Linked DNA regions of Ovis aries. The protein of the gene in region 3 interacts with the protein of the main gene of each other region in a pairwise test. Links are inferred from orthologs where the notes say so. Each region holds a gene or a part of one and is shown on either strand. Other genes may lie near its edges.

Evidence for each region.
Region 1: the proteins of KIF2A (region 3) and FAM13C interact in binary tests that used the Homo sapiens proteins (3 or more experiments, as listed by UniProt). The two-hybrid records come from large-scale screens. The link is inferred for Ovis aries from reciprocal best matches to the Homo sapiens genes KIF2A and FAM13C.
Region 2: the proteins of KIF2A (region 3) and LARP1B interact in binary tests that used the Homo sapiens proteins (3 or more experiments, as listed by UniProt). The two-hybrid records come from large-scale screens. The link is inferred for Ovis aries from reciprocal best matches to the Homo sapiens genes KIF2A and LARP1B.

The regions. Positions count from the first base shown.
Region 1 is NC_056078.1:14,231,202-14,236,422, forward strand, and holds the end of FAM13C (protein FAM13C), read right to left. Parts: coding exon 5,166-5,221; intron 2,761-5,165; coding exon 2,637-2,760; 3' UTR 1,154-2,636; downstream 1-1,153. Other genes in the region: PHYHIPL (phytanoyl-CoA hydroxylase-interacting protein-like), read left to right, coding at 94-628.
Region 2 is NC_056070.1:29,870,833-29,875,953, forward strand, and holds part of LARP1B (la-related protein 1B), read right to left. Parts: intron 3,341-5,121; coding exon 3,196-3,340; intron 1-3,195.
Region 3 is NC_056069.1:17,226,432-17,231,652, forward strand, and holds the start of KIF2A (kinesin-like protein KIF2A), read right to left. Parts: upstream 2,806-5,221; 5' UTR 2,538-2,805; coding exon 2,474-2,537; intron 1-2,473. UniProt on the Homo sapiens protein: Plus end-directed microtubule-dependent motor required for normal brain development. May regulate microtubule dynamics during axonal growth. Required for normal progression through mitosis. Required for normal congress of chromosomes at the metaphase plate.

The sequences.
Region 1 (5,221 bases), on a different chromosome or scaffold from region 3:
ACAGTTGACTTGTAGTCTATCACCATTCAACTCTATACATTAGTAGCTCTACCACCACTGTACCAAGCAGTGACCATTTATTTTCTCTTGCAGAGAACATCATGGGAATGCTATGCAGCCCTCCGTCAAGGATAACAGTGGCAGCCATGGCTCTCCTATCAGTGGAAAATTAGAAGGCATCTTCTTTAGCTGCAGCACTGAATTCAATACTGGGAAGCCACCCCAGGATTCACCTTATGGAAGATACAGGTTTGAGATTGCAGCAGAAAAACTTTTTAACCCCAATACTAACTTATACTTTGGGGACTTCTACTGTATGTACACTGCTTATCATTATGTGATTCTGGTCATTGCTCCTGTGGGATCACCAGGAGATGAATTTTGTAAGCAGCGCCTTCCTCAACTAAATTCCCAGGATAATAAATTTCTGACGTGCAGAGAAGAAGATGGGATGCTGGTTTACCACCATGCCCAGGATGTCATTTTAGAAGTCATTTACACTGACCCCGTGGATCTTTCTCTAGGCACCGTGGCAGAAATCACTGGTCATCAGCTCATGAGCTTATCTACTGCAAATGCAAAGAAAGATCCCAGCTGCAAAACCTGTAATATTAGTGTTGGACGTTAATGCCCACTTTTCTTATTCTGAGGCCCCCTTTCTTCCCGTAGGAGCCCTGATCCTCTGTTGTCCATTTTCATCACCCAGATGTTTTCCACTGAAGCATGCCCATGCCACTGTCACCGAAAGCGAACCATCACTTTTCAGATTTCCGAGCTGTTGTAGTGTTTCCCAGTCCCTACCCTTCCCACGACTTTGAGAGATGAACTGTCCTGAGTTGTTTCTGACACCCTCTTGCCTAGATGCTGCAATGTTTTTATTTTTCCTCTATGCCAAACATAACCAAACTATTATATAAACTGCTTTAGTAAAATACAAAATAATGGCTTATAAATGGTGTTTAAATATGCTCTCATTTTAATCTACTGAACAAATATTGGGATAACTCCAAACCGCATGAAAAAGTGTAATTGCAGCATGAGTTAAATCTTGAAGCCTAGAATTGTCAGCACTTCCAACTTGTTGTTTGACAGTGTTATTTATGTTATTTATATTAGCTAACAGGAAACAACTACTGTGTTTCAACATAATAAATATAATAGAAAAATATTTTATTTGTATTGTTGTATAAAATATTTACAATCTTATAGAATATATAGAGTTACATCTTAATAGCAATTGTATACATGTCACGAAACCATTTCCCTTATCAAAGATGTAGTTTGTAAACCTCAAATAGTTGTGTATCTGTCCTGTTACAAGTACATAACTTTAATTAAACAAATTTGTGAAGGACATTATTCTGATTCATAAAGGTTATAAAATATCAGGTAAATATAGGTAACTATAGAGAAAACAGTAAGCCTCTGAAACCATCTGCTTCAGAAATAGTCAATCCCAACCAAACTATATGAAAATGTGAATTTGTTCACCATTGTGCTTAAACATTACAGAAAAGAGAACTACAAACGTGGCTGGTATGAGAGAGAAAATGTGGACCTTTTACTTATTTTTACAAAAGCAAAATAATAAACGTGGTTTAATACAAAATAACAAAACAATATACACTGAAGTTAATGATGCAAATAAAGTATCCTGGCTTCTTTTCCAAGGTGTTACAGCAAACAGGTACTAAACCTTTCATTTTATACAGAATGAGTAACAACTATAGTTCATGGGAAATTTTTTTGACTTTACAAAGTATAGACCTTGGAACATTAAGAAAAACACATATTCCCAATGGAAAAATAGTTTATATATCTTATAGTAAACAAAAAGATTAGCTATTATAACTATGATCACATTAGATTATATGCTACAGACACATCTATCCAAAATACCTATTTTCAAATTTTAATACAATATTTTATTTTAATATAAACATCTGTCAATTATAAACAAAGATAATTCACAAAGTACATGCTATCAGAATGAACTTTGGTAATCAGAAATGTAAAATTTTAAGGAACAGATAAAATAATGTGCTATTTTTATATAGAAATAAAAAATTAGCAGTGACACATTCTAGTATATTTTAGGGTGCTGAAAGCCTAGCAGACTTAAGGGACAAGGTAGTAGATTTTTTATCACTTAAAAATCTATTAGAAGTTTCAAATAAATTACATTCTTAATGACTGTATCCCTTTCTATGTAAAATGAGTTTCTTTTGTTGTTCTTATTGGGTTAAAAATCATGCTCTTTCCGTATGTCAGTATAAGCAGTCTTTGGACATTAAGTAGACTTTCTCTAACCAGTGGTCCATTTAACAGGTGGACACTTTTTATTACTTAGGTTTGATACAATACATGTTTTCTGAAGTAATTATACTGACTGCATTTTCTCCTTGGCATGGAGAAGGCTGAATTTTATTTTCCAATTATATGTTACTTACTGTATTTTCTCCCATTTTAATCCCTTCTATTCATGTATAATTACACTTGCCATCCATTCTTAACAACAGCTAATACTCCCACTAAAGTGCTTCAGTTTTCAGTTGTCATACTACTTAGCAAGAACGGCAGAGGAAAATAAACTTGCCTTATCACAGGTGAAAGTGATCACAAACATTTCCTGAACCTCAAATAGTTTTGGCCACATCTTGCTTGCTGATGAGGACCTCTAATAGTCTCAGTTTGGCTTTTATATGCTTGTATTCATAGTACTCATCTGCCATTGGTATCCGATCTTCCTTTTGTGGACTTCTGCAAAAAATATATATATATATAAATGCATTAGATCATTAATGAACCAAGTCATTAAAAATCCTTTTTTAACTCTTGTGAGAAAAGTACAGGGTAACAATTTCCGCTAGATTTTTTCATCAAGTCTTTTTTCCTCTCCCTCTTCCATGTGTTACTAGGTTTCAATGTAATAGTGCTCTGAGAAGTTAAATATTATAAGTGTTTTGCAAAACATTGTCCAGTGCATAGACATATAACACTGGGGAAGAGGAAAGGTCTGCGGGAAATAAAAACCAGAACCCTCAAGATATTTTTTTACCTAGTCTTTCTTCCATCATCCAAGCCTGTGCAGAATATTCAGCCCTTATAGTGATAGTTGTTTAAAATATCAACCTAAAAATACTACGAAAATTACATTAACAGAAATAACTTATAAATCTATGGTAATAGGAGGGAAAAGTTCAGTAGCTACCTTACAAACATGAATTATTTCTAAACTTTCTTGTAATTATAGTCCTATCTCTGTTAATGTATAGAAGAGTCACAGAGAAGTTCCTTTCAGAAATCTGAGTCTAAATTGTAGTGGTTCTTTGCACACTGATCCTACTAAGACTAGACTACGGATCATGCCCAGTTTGATACATATGCCTCCTAACTGCCAGATGTTCTTGACATTTACTTTGAAGGATAATTGGGTAACATCTGGAGTTAAAATCATCTGCCTTCCCAGAAATTTACATTGCCAGGATATGTTTTCTAAAGGACAAGAGTTAGTTCAGGATCTCCTTAGTTAATAAAGATGGCCAATTGCTTTTAAAATATTTCCACCCATGACTTTGAAATACAAGGACTGGAAAACCCAGATGAAGTCACCACCACTGCTATTGAATATAAACACAGATAACATAAACTCTGTAACATAAGTATAGCTGAAAATGGGTAAAAAGCAAACAGCCTATACCCCTTCTATTTTACCAGTACTGATAAAGTTATATTTCTTACCAATAAAAGAACAGCTAACAGTACACATAGATTTGAATACTGTTCTGAGTTCTGAACTAGAAATTTCAGGGCAGTATATATAGTGTTAACAACACCAGTAGATAACGATATTCTTTGGGAATCTATAAAGAGTCTTCCCTGAAATCTCTAGTTCAGAACTCAGAACAGTATACAAATCTACAGCCAGAGTTCCTTTTAGACTAACATAATTCCTTTGACTCCATTCTGTATTCTGGGCCAAACTTATCCCAACTGGGTATCTAAATGCCACCTTAATTTGTGTAAACATACCTAAGTGAAGAAATAGTCTAATTTATAGGGAAACACTAATAGTTCATGATGCAATTATCTCTGGTCCGGCACACTCCTCTTTATCTAATAAACAAGAATGCATTGTACTAAGTATTTCCTTAACCACTTTTCTCATTATATAAAACATACATAAGCATTTAGCACAGGTCCTGGCTCATAATTGTTAAGGTCATACCTAGATAACTATGCTTCTTGCATGATGACTCTTACCAAGAACATTCATAGAACATTAAATTTTTTAATTATCTATTTGCATGGTTATTTTACCTATGGACAGGTAACCCTTCCCAATGAAATGTTTTAGAAAAACAAGATCTGTATTTCGTAGCCATTCGACTATTTGATTTTACTTGTAATATGGCACCGCTTCTGCCTTTAGTTTAAGTGTATTACCACAAGAGGGCAGATAACCTCAACCAAGTAGTAAGCATATCTGAAGTGGGTTTCCCACTCACTGGTGCATTTAAAATACTATACATAGAACATGACTAACTTCCCTGGATGTCAGAGGCATGCCAAGTACCACTGCAGACCCATTTGGCAGGACTAATAACACACCAGAAGGTTCTCAAACTCTTTAAATTGCCTGTGTTTGGATAGGTTAAAAAATGTAAAAGTTGTATAGAAATTTTGTAAAGGAAAAAAGAAAACAAATTGTTTTATATTCTGAATTTAACAACCACATAACATTTCTCATTAGATAGTTACCATCAGCAGAAAGGTAGGTCACTTGGACTTATATAACAGTCAACTTAGAACAGAGAACTAACATGGGCTGAAAGATCAGATAGATTTATTTAAGGTTTAGATAAATTCAATAGTTATAATGGGATTTATTATGCAAAGTTAGGGAATTTAGGGAGTTCATCTTTTGTTTTTTTTAAAGATTCATGTCTTATACTTGATAGCTACATCCTTCTATAAAACATACCCAATAATGATACTACCCAAATGTTGCATTAGACAAACACTAGTTGTAAGTCACTGGAAATTATGTCTTGTATAAAGTCACCGTTACTGCAAAAAACAAACAAACAAAAAATCTGAGCTTACTCCTGACTCTTAGTTCTCTAGGAGTCATTAGCTTAAAAAATATCTCTGCCCACACTTACCTTCCTGTTTGTTTAAAAAACTGTTCCTCAAATTCTCTCAAGGCTTTCCGAAGTCT
Region 2 (5,121 bases), on a different chromosome or scaffold from region 3:
GGAACATATAGATGTTATATCCCTAGGTCCAAGTCCTATGACTGGTATTAAGAGAAAGACTAGCCTGTGCAAAGACACAGAAGTAAGAAAAGAGCAGCACACATTTTGTGGAACCGCAAGGTCAGCCAATTTGGGCAACAAGGTTTGAGATGAGAGTAGCAAGCACAGTTCTAAGGACTTTATGATTATTATATTAATGACTCCTCTAAGTCCTCATACTCTATGATAGCTTAAGCACTTATTTGTTGTATTTTAACAATGAGAAAACTTTAGCATGTAAGATGTTAAATAACTTGAATACAACTGACTAAATGCAGAGCCAGAATCAATTAAATCTAACAAAAAACGAAGACACAAATAGCTCAGTTTTGGAGCAACTATCAAGAATGCAATAAGCTGGATGAATCACATGATCCACCAATTCCACTCACTTCTAGGTATATATCCAAAGAAAATGAAAAATATTCAAAGAGATACATGCACTCCCAAATGTATTCAGCATTATTCACAGTAGCCATGATATGGAGACAACCTAAATGACCTCTAAAAAATGAATGGATAAAAACCATTTGGTATATATACACAATAGACTACTACTCAATCATGAGAAAGGAGGATATCCTGCTGTTTCTGACAACATGGATTAATTTTAAACACATTATAGTAAGTGAGATAAAAAAAGGCAGAAAAAGACAAACACAAGTATTGTATGATATAACTTATATGTAGAATCTAAAAAAATGAAACCTGTTTTTTAAAAAAAAAGAAGAAAATGCTTACCAGGAAATGGATGAGGGGATAAGACCGATGTTGTTTACTACTACTTACTTATAAGTAGTAGTAAATAAGTGACCAATATAATGCACAGTACAATGACTATAGACAATATTGTATTATAACTGTTAAGTGACAATGCTACAAGAGCAATCAAAATACAATATACATATGTAAATAAGTAAAAAAAAAAGAGAGAGAGAGAGAAAGAAAAAGAATTCAGTATGGTGAAAATGAATGGGAAAGGAGGAAACAGATTCAGTAAGTGTGGCTATGTAGACATTCTCAACCAAGGTAGAGATGGGAAATAGCTAAAGTGTATTTTGCTTCCTTTGATAGCTTTTCAAGAAAGTTAACACTTGAGCATATTCAAATACATATTTGAAAAAGCTGATTAAAAGGAGTAATAAATAGAAGGGTATATAAGTAACAGTGAATTTTTATTTAGAGCTTAAGGTGTATGCCAGATACTGTCATTACAGATTTCATACCCATAACAACCCCATGAAGTCCACTTTACAGAAACCTCAGAACACTGCCTGAAGTGCTTGAAGTCCGGAGCTATGAGGATATGTATGCAGGTCCTCAAGTCCATGCTTTAAATCAGTATGTTTACACTGCAAAGCCTAATGAAGCCCTACCTTCCTAAAGGAAAAAAAAAAAAGACATCTTTCCTACTGTAGTAAGTGGTAGGTACATAATGAATGTTAAATGAATACAGACCTATGCTGTTCTAAATCACTATGCTTATATGTTTCTGTTTCACAACAGTTTTATTTCTTACTATAAATCAGCCACTACATATTAATAATGCTAACCAGTATAGTAATGCAAAAGTTCTTTTAAAAATATCCCTTCCCCACTGCTCTAAGTTTTATAATAGAAGTAGACAATCAGTGATATAAAAATTAAGAACTTAATGGGAATATGAACAGACCAAAAAAGGATGCAATGAATTACAACCAGATTCTTAGAGGTAGGGAGACCAGAGGAAATCGGTACCTTCATTGAAAATGATAGCGGAGCTAGAGCTTGCTTAGAGATCTGAGTACACTCAGTCACGTCTGACTCTTCGACCATTATTCAAAAAACCGAGAATACCATGTGCTGATGAGAAGCAAATGTAATTCTCATACAAAATGGCAGCATGCAAAATGGTTAAATCCATTTTGGACAATAGGTTGGCAACTTCCTATAGTTAAACATACACTTACCACAGATTCCAGCAATCACAATCCTCAATATTTAGACCTATGCTTTATTCATAATCTTCAAAAACCAGAAACAATCTATATGTCTATCAACAAGTGAACTGTATGCAGTGCATCCTTACTATGAAATACCAGTCAACAATAAGAACAAACTGATACATGAAACAACAAGAATGAATCTCAAAAGCACTATGCTAAGTCAAAGAAGTCAGAAACAAAGGGCTACAAACTAGTGATGTATAATTTATTTACATGATGGTCTAGAAAAGGCAAAACTAGAGGGATAAAAAACAAAATCAGATCAGTGTCCCAAGGGACTATGTATGAGGAAAGAGATTGGCTACACAGGTTGGCACAAGTGTGTAAGACTGCCAAAATTCAGAAAACTATATAGGAAAAAGGGCAAATATTATGTATATATGTAGGGAACGGAAAACCAAAAATGCTGAAACCATTTCTACAACAAAACAGACAAGAGATTTAATAAAAGCTTTAAGAACACATCTGGAATAACTATTTTAAACTAGCCCTTGGTATACAGGAAAATTTCTCAAAATTTTAATGATGAGAATACAATCTCTTTTATAGCAACCTAAATACTAAAGGACCAAGAATACCCAAGAATGTTTAAGTTTGTTTTGGGGTTCAACCCAACCAAGAAGGATCCAATTAAAAACAGGTAGAAACATCAGTAATCCTTTGAGGGGTTTCCAAGGTTAGACATTTATTTGGATTTTATAAAATGGCAAAAGAGCCTTGAGATACAGTAAGAGTCTTAGGTTACTGCGCTGTGCTTAGTCACTCAGTTGTGTCCACCTCTGCGATCCTATAGGCTATAGCTCCTCTGTCCATGGGGATTCTCCAAGCAAGAATACTGGAGTGGGTTGCCATGCCCTCCTCCAGGGGATCTTTTCAATCCAGGGATCCAACCTAGGTCTCCCGCATTCCAGGTGGATTGTTTACCATCTGAGCCACCAGAGAAGCCCAAGAATACTGGAGTGGGTAGCCTACCGCTTCTCCAAGGGATGTTCCAAATCCAGGAATTGAACCGGGGTCTCCAGCATTGCAGGCCAATTCTTTACCAGCTCTGTTACCAGGGAAGAATGTTTTTGCTTTTTTCTTAAAATTACTTAATAGATTTATTTTTTATAGCAGCTTTAGATTCAGAGCGTAACTGAAAGTACAGACTGTTCTATATATGAATAATTACCTCCAAAATGAGATTAAGGTTTGTAGTGAGAGCCTGAACACGGTGGAAACCAGCAATCAGGGAAATAGGCAAGAAACCTTGCTCGTCCATCTTTCTCCTAAGAAAGAAATCCCGTTCCAAATTTTCTATACTGAAGTAATACTCACTGAAAAGAAAAAGAAGTAAATATAAATTTCATCAATTTATTCAATCGGAAATTAAAACGTCTATTGATTAAGATATCAACTGCTATAAAACTATTTTGATTTATTGTAACATTATACACATTTACTGTAACATAGGGTAAATATAAATAGCTGTAAAACCCTACTGTTAGTAAATTCTCTTACACAAGTAGAAACAAATTTAGAATACTATCTTCTCAAAAACTAACTTCTACTTAGATCAGCTTTACCTACGCATAAACAATTAAAGAGTGTTATTCTTTAAAAAAAAAAGCTCAATAATTAACTTTCTAATGAGTCAATTAAGTGAAAATTTCATTTCAAACCCATATTAACCATATGTAAAATAGACAACCAACGGGAATTTGCTCTATGGCTCAGGAAACTCAAACTGGGGCTCTGTATCAATCCAGAGGGGTGGAATGGGGCAGGAGACAGGTTCAAAAGGGAGGGGTTATATGTATACCTATGGCTGATTCATGTTGAGGTTTGACAGAAAACACAATTCTGTAAAGCAATTATCCTTCAATAAAAAAAATTTTTTTTTTAAGTCACATTAACTTGCTTCATTTAAACAGTAAATAACAAAGTTAAACATGTCAACAGACTGCCTTCCAACTTTTTCCCATCACTGAGAATAATGGTATATTAGAAGCAGTTTTTATCAAGTTTACAGAGTAGATTAGTTTGCTGTGTTTTCTAAGCTGGTAGGGTAATGACATTGTTTAATATGTCCAAACTCTAGCATACAGCACAATGTTTAGTAACAGCTGAGTGAATACACAGACACAGATGCACACACCCAATTTTATACTTGAATGATTCAAGACCCTCAACCTCCCCTTTGAGAGGGAGAACTATAAAAGACCTTAAAAATGAACAGAATATAGCTAAATAAAGAACATCTATAACACCATGAAGTATAAACATAGGCGAAAAACTATAGAAGCAAACTTTCACACCTTAATTGTCTCTCTAGGAAAGTAGAGAGGGAGATATAAATGAACAAGCTGTGGGATCAACAAGTTCCAACATATAAAGATAATATTAAGAATACATATAATAATGGCATTTCAGAAACACTTGTTTAGATTACAGCTTGCATATTTTAAAAAATGAAAACAAGATTCTAGAGAAACAAAACAAGAGGATAAATGGGGGGAAATGTAAAAAAGAATAATACAAAAGAAATACATGACATCAAATGATATGGCTTACAGTTTAACAATCCGACACTATATCCAAATCACAAAGCAAGTTTTCAAAGGGTGGCAACTGGGTGACTAAAGATACCCTTGAAGTATTTAGGTCAAATTGTTAATTTTGAAGAAATAATTACCTATAAATGAAAGCTGGCTTTGAGCTACCTTTCACTGTATGGGAAAAAAAATCTCATTTTAGAAATGTAAATACCCAAGTTGTATTTTTACTCTGATATTTTCCAACTATCAAAGTGTAAAGCTCCCTTAGATCAGTGAAATACAACTAACATCTCAGTAATACTAGGTAAATCATTTACTCTCCTTAAACACTGAAGAAAATTTTTTAAAAAATCTAAGTCTTGAAGAAATTTCTTGAAGAAACATTCTGATTTTTGTTACACCTCAAAAGCCCTTTTCACAGTGCCTGGCATGTGGAGGGCACATAATACATATGTTTAAATTTGAAAATTTTCAGACATTAAGACATCTAGCCTCTTCAAAAATATTTAGCATAATATTCCACAAGTCCAAGAAGTTTTTCAGGAACTTCTCAAAGACAA
Region 3 (5,221 bases):
TACCCAAACATTAATACTTGAGGAAATATGCTGTCTCATGAGTCTCCTAATGACTTAGGAATTCAGTGACTGACTGGCCATCCAGTTTTAGTAATCAATGAAAACATACTGGGAGTTAGTTTTGAGCAGGATGTTGAAAGATACTAACAAGTCCACATTAATTACCTGGAAATATTTTTTTTTAATATATAAGCATCACAGATGGGAGAAGCATGCTCAGAAACAAGGACAAGGATCACCACTTAGCAAGCATGCAGAGAAACATCAAATCACCAGTGAACAGCAGTCTAGAACAGCCCTTCTTCACTCATGTGGTTTCCACTGTCTCAGGCATTACATTAGTGCTCATTCAACTGCAAAGTTTATTTCTGTTACAATGATCACTAATGTCTTATCCAAACAGATACACCATAGAAATGGGAGGAAACAAAACAGCTTCTTTAAAGTGAAAAAGGGAAGGCTTTAGGTGAGTCTCCCAGACATCAATTTCTACTGTGAAACAGCACTACCCAATGCAAATGATCATTCCCTTAAGTTCTCTGCTTATCTGTTACCTTCAACTCTACTATGCACCTGAGGAACATAAATACATACATGACTGTAAGTTAAGATGAGATACACCGTAATGATTTCAATTATTTCTCAAGGGCAAACTGCTTTGAAATGTGATTTTAGGTTACTAGCACTTATGTAAGAACACAAAGCTCTTAGATGTCTGGGTTTCTGGTATAGGCAGAAGATGAAGGCAGAAAGAGTACTAATTATAGTACTAAGTAAAGAATATCCTAGAATCCCCCCCAAACCAAAACTGTTTCCAGTCTGACACATTTAAAAAGATGTTAGCCCAGAAAACATAAAATTAACCAAACCTTTCAAGTATCATGATACTTTTTCTGATAACTTCTACAGTTAAACCTACAATCACAGTTAAAAGTCTTAGAATGTAAAGAACTCACACATTTTATTGCTTCTCCCCCAAATTTTAAACAATATATATAAACCCTACTTTTACTAGTATACAGTGAACCTGCATTTACCTAAAAATGAAATTACCGTAACAGCACAGCTTAAGGAAAGCAATTTGAAGAGAAAACACGAAGAAACCCCAACCAAAGTGAGAGAGACATCTCTTTCCCGTCAGTGTTATGGGTAACTTCTAAAGGTCTATGTGTTATAATTTATCTTTTCACATACTGCGTAATAATGTTGACACAAATTATGTCAGATATAAGGAAAGGGAAAAAAATCATTAGCTGGACAGGGTCTTCTAATATATGTTATCACAGATAAACAAGACAGTCAATCTAAGCTTCACATAACTTGGTCAAACCTGGTAGAAGCCTCTCGGTAGAGGCTGTAGATCAGACAGCGATAGTTACCATTGACTAGGCTAAACGATAATAAGCCATAACCTAAAGGCACAGGATAAGATACACCGCACGCCTCTCGGTATTACACACCTCTACTTCGCTCAATGTTTGGACTGAAACATAATTTTACCCGCCTCCATGCGTTTTCTCCTTTACAATATAAATTATTTCCAAACCTGGCTGGTTAGGGGCGTAAAACATTTACCCCAAGAGAAACCTATAGAAAGAGACACAAGCCTAGGGCTTTTTCTCTCTTTATAATTTTAATTAGGCATGTGCCTCCACCGCGTCTGACACTTTTCTCTCGGTTACCTCTCAGGAGGGTGTGAGACTATCAACATCCGGTCGTCCACCCCCACCCTCTCAGGAGTGCCTCGCACAGACAAGGATCATCCTCCCTTTTAGTCTCATCACCTTTGAGAAGCTTATCGAATACTTCTTCCCTTCGCTCCCCCACCCTTATTCATGGCTGAGCACCACAGGCTCCCCATCCTTCTTCCAAGGAAGGGACTGGCAAAAAAGAAAGAGACATGCTCGAGAAATGAAAGACGAAGAAACCTGACAACCGAACAGTTTAAACCAATGGGGTTGGCCTTTCTCTCCCACCTTGGCCTCGGACCAGTAGTCGGTTCCCTAAATGCTGAAATCTCTGGTCTTCACGATCTCCTCACCCCTCATCCCCTCAGATGAGGCCGGGAAATGAAAAGGCCGGGGTGAGCCGCGAGGCTGGGTCAATCCTATCGGAGCCTGCGGTCCCCGGGCGGCGGTCCCCGGGGAGGATGGAGATCGCGGGGGAGGAGCGGGGGGCCCCCCGACAGGGGACCCTCCGACGCACACCCCCGAAGACCCCCGGGCCCTTCCCCGTAGGCCTCCCCCCGGCCCAGCCTCCCGCAGGGCTCCTCCCCGGTCCGGCACTGCAGCGGCACCCGGGGCGGACCCCAAGCTGGCCTCACTCGCACACACGCCACACACAAAAGCGCCGCGGCCGCCGCCTTCCCGCCCCCACAGCCCGGCGGAGCAATCAATGAGGCGGCCGGCGCCCGCGTCTCCGCCGCGCACAGCCGACAGCGGGGCCGCACGGCAGGGGCGGCGGCGAGGCTCACCATCGCTCCGCTTGATCTCCACGTAAATCCCGATCTGGATCTTGCCGAAGTTGGCCGTTGCCATCACCTCATCTGGAGCAGCGGCGGCGGGCCGAGGGAGGGGGACCAGAGGGCGGAAAAGGCGGGGAGGGGGCGGGGTAGGTGTGTGAGGGGGAGCGGTTGCCCGCGGCCGCGCCGGCCCGGGCGACAGCGTGAACGCGAGCCGGGGCCGCGAGGAGCAGCGGCGGACTGGCAGGCAGAGGCCCCGGGCCTGCAGGCCGGCGGGAGGACGCGCACGCCCGGGCGTCGGGGTGAAGCGAGGGCCGGGGCGGTGCGGCGGCGCGGGGGAGAGTGGGAGGGCCCGCGCCGCCCGCCCAAGAGCCGACGCTGAGGAGGCGGGGCGCCGCGCGCCTGCGCAGAGCGTGCCTCCCGCGTCTTTTCCTGGTCGGCCCGCCTTGCCCCGCTGCCTCGAGGCGGCCCCGCCCAGCTCCACGGCTGGGCGGGCGGCGGCCGAGGCTAGGCCGGCGGAGGGAGCGGAGCGCGCGCGGCAAGGCCCCCAGGGAGCCTGCGTCTAGTTTGATTTCTGCGCGCGGCCTGGAAGAGGCGGGAATCTGCGCTTCCAAGAACTTGCACTGTTGCTGGAATGGATTAAGCTCCCTGCGGTTTCTGGGCTTTCCGGCTGGAGCGCGAGGCTGGGGGATGTGCATTTAGGGGTCGGCCATTGACAGCATGGGTTCAGTGTCTCATCTGACAGTGTCACCGCCATTGCTTCTTAGAGGTGGCCTGTGCGAGGAGACGTCCCAAGGTTTCCCATCCAGTGGTAGAAGAAGAAACACCTTTGAGGTGTCACCCACACTTAGTCGGAATGAAGATCCGCTTTTCATGGCCTTGACTTACAGCTCATCGCCATTCAAAAAGAAACGGCGTGGTCGGGGAGTGGGGGATTAGATTGCTGGATTTATGATGCATCCGATGCAGATGTCTTGGCTCTGCAAATAGTTCAAGACTATTTGCCCTGGACCATAAAACCAGTAACTATGATTCAAGGACAGAGGGCCAAATAAATTTGACAAAGAAATGTGCCTTTTCGGTAGTCAGTTGGTGAGTCTGACCACACCAGCGTGTGGAGAGCAGGGTTCTTCGTCCTGGCAAAACAGGAAAGCCCTGTGGACAGGGACCTTGGAAACTATATTTACAGCACTGTGTACAAACCTCCAAACGTGTGACATTTGCTTCTAGTTTTAGGACTTGATATGGAGGAAACACACTTATCGTGCCCTGCTTTCTCTAGTCAGTGTTAATCTCCCTGTAATGATAATTTAAAATATACAGTTTTAAAATTAAAAAATTGGAAACTGGATATGTGTGTGTTAAGTGTGTGTAGGAGTATATGCAAATAGCTAGTGTTTTTATGCTAATATAATCAAGTCAAGTAGACCCTAAACATTTTGTTGAGAAAGATTTGGACTCTGTAACTTAAATGTATTGAAGGCATACTTATCAAAGAACAAAGTTTCTTACATCCAGTCTAAAGTAAAAATAATGTCTGTGAGAAAAACACTAGGCAGACAACTTTGAAAACCAGCTTTTACATGTCAGAAATGACTACTGTAAACCTCAATTTAGGATCTCTGTTTCAAAATAAGATTTGGTGGTGTTAGTGGGTTTTTTTTTTATTATTATCTTGAGTGCTTTGTCTGAACTCTTTGAGCTTCTAATAGAACACCTCCGATGTCTCTATGACTGAGATATAAAGTATCTATGTATTTGCTTGCAAATTCTTTTAAGAATACAAAGAAATCAAGCTATACACTTATGAAATTTAAAATTGCTTCATAAAATGTGTTTTATCATGGTTGCTGACACATACCTTGCCCTCCGTGGGCTATATAATTAAGAAGCCTAAACCTTTAATCCGTAGTTAAAAGTATTTAAAATATATATACATTATCCTGCTCTATAAAAAAAATGTATGAGATGTGCTACTTGTCAAACATAAAAACCTTTCCTTTATAGGTCATACCCAAAAGGCGTATGTTTTTCTGTATGCCCCACCCAGCATTTATATTTCCCAAGACTTGCATCTTGGGCTTTGTGCCAGTGGCCTTCTGAAGCGCACCGGTAAATAAATGCAGTGCGGCTACGTTTCCATCAACATCCTGTATCAAGAATTCTGACTCTGGCTCCAGCGTTAGCAAACTATATAACCCTGACTAGAACAGTGACTGGCATATAGTAGGCACTCAGACATTTGTTCAAGGAATTAACTTGTTAAGCTGCTCCAAATCTTGGTTACTTTCTTAAACAGCCTGGAAAAATAACTTCTATTCTCTCAATTGCAGAAAATTTTCATGAGGATCAAATGAAATAATAAAATGTGACAGTATTTTGTATTTATAAGTATAGTCAAGTTAAAAAAAGACAGTAAACCACCCTATAAAACATAGCCTAATACCTTACTGTAATCTTCAAATCATTACGTGAAATTTTATATCCAATGATATAAAATTAAAGACACTTTGCAATTTGGCTCTGACCCTCAACACCTCATATCTGAGAGGATAGCAAGAGCTTAACAGACCTGTCTATATTCTTTTACCCACTTGAGTCCTTCCTACCTTACTTTACAGAATAATTTTGCTCAAGGATAATTTCCGTCAAGTCATATCCTATTCATAGTAGCTGCTGTTGTCCTACCCTATCCTGAATTGATAAACCATTTCAAAAAAATCATAGTTTCTGTAATAAAACCAAGCCAATCTCATTATA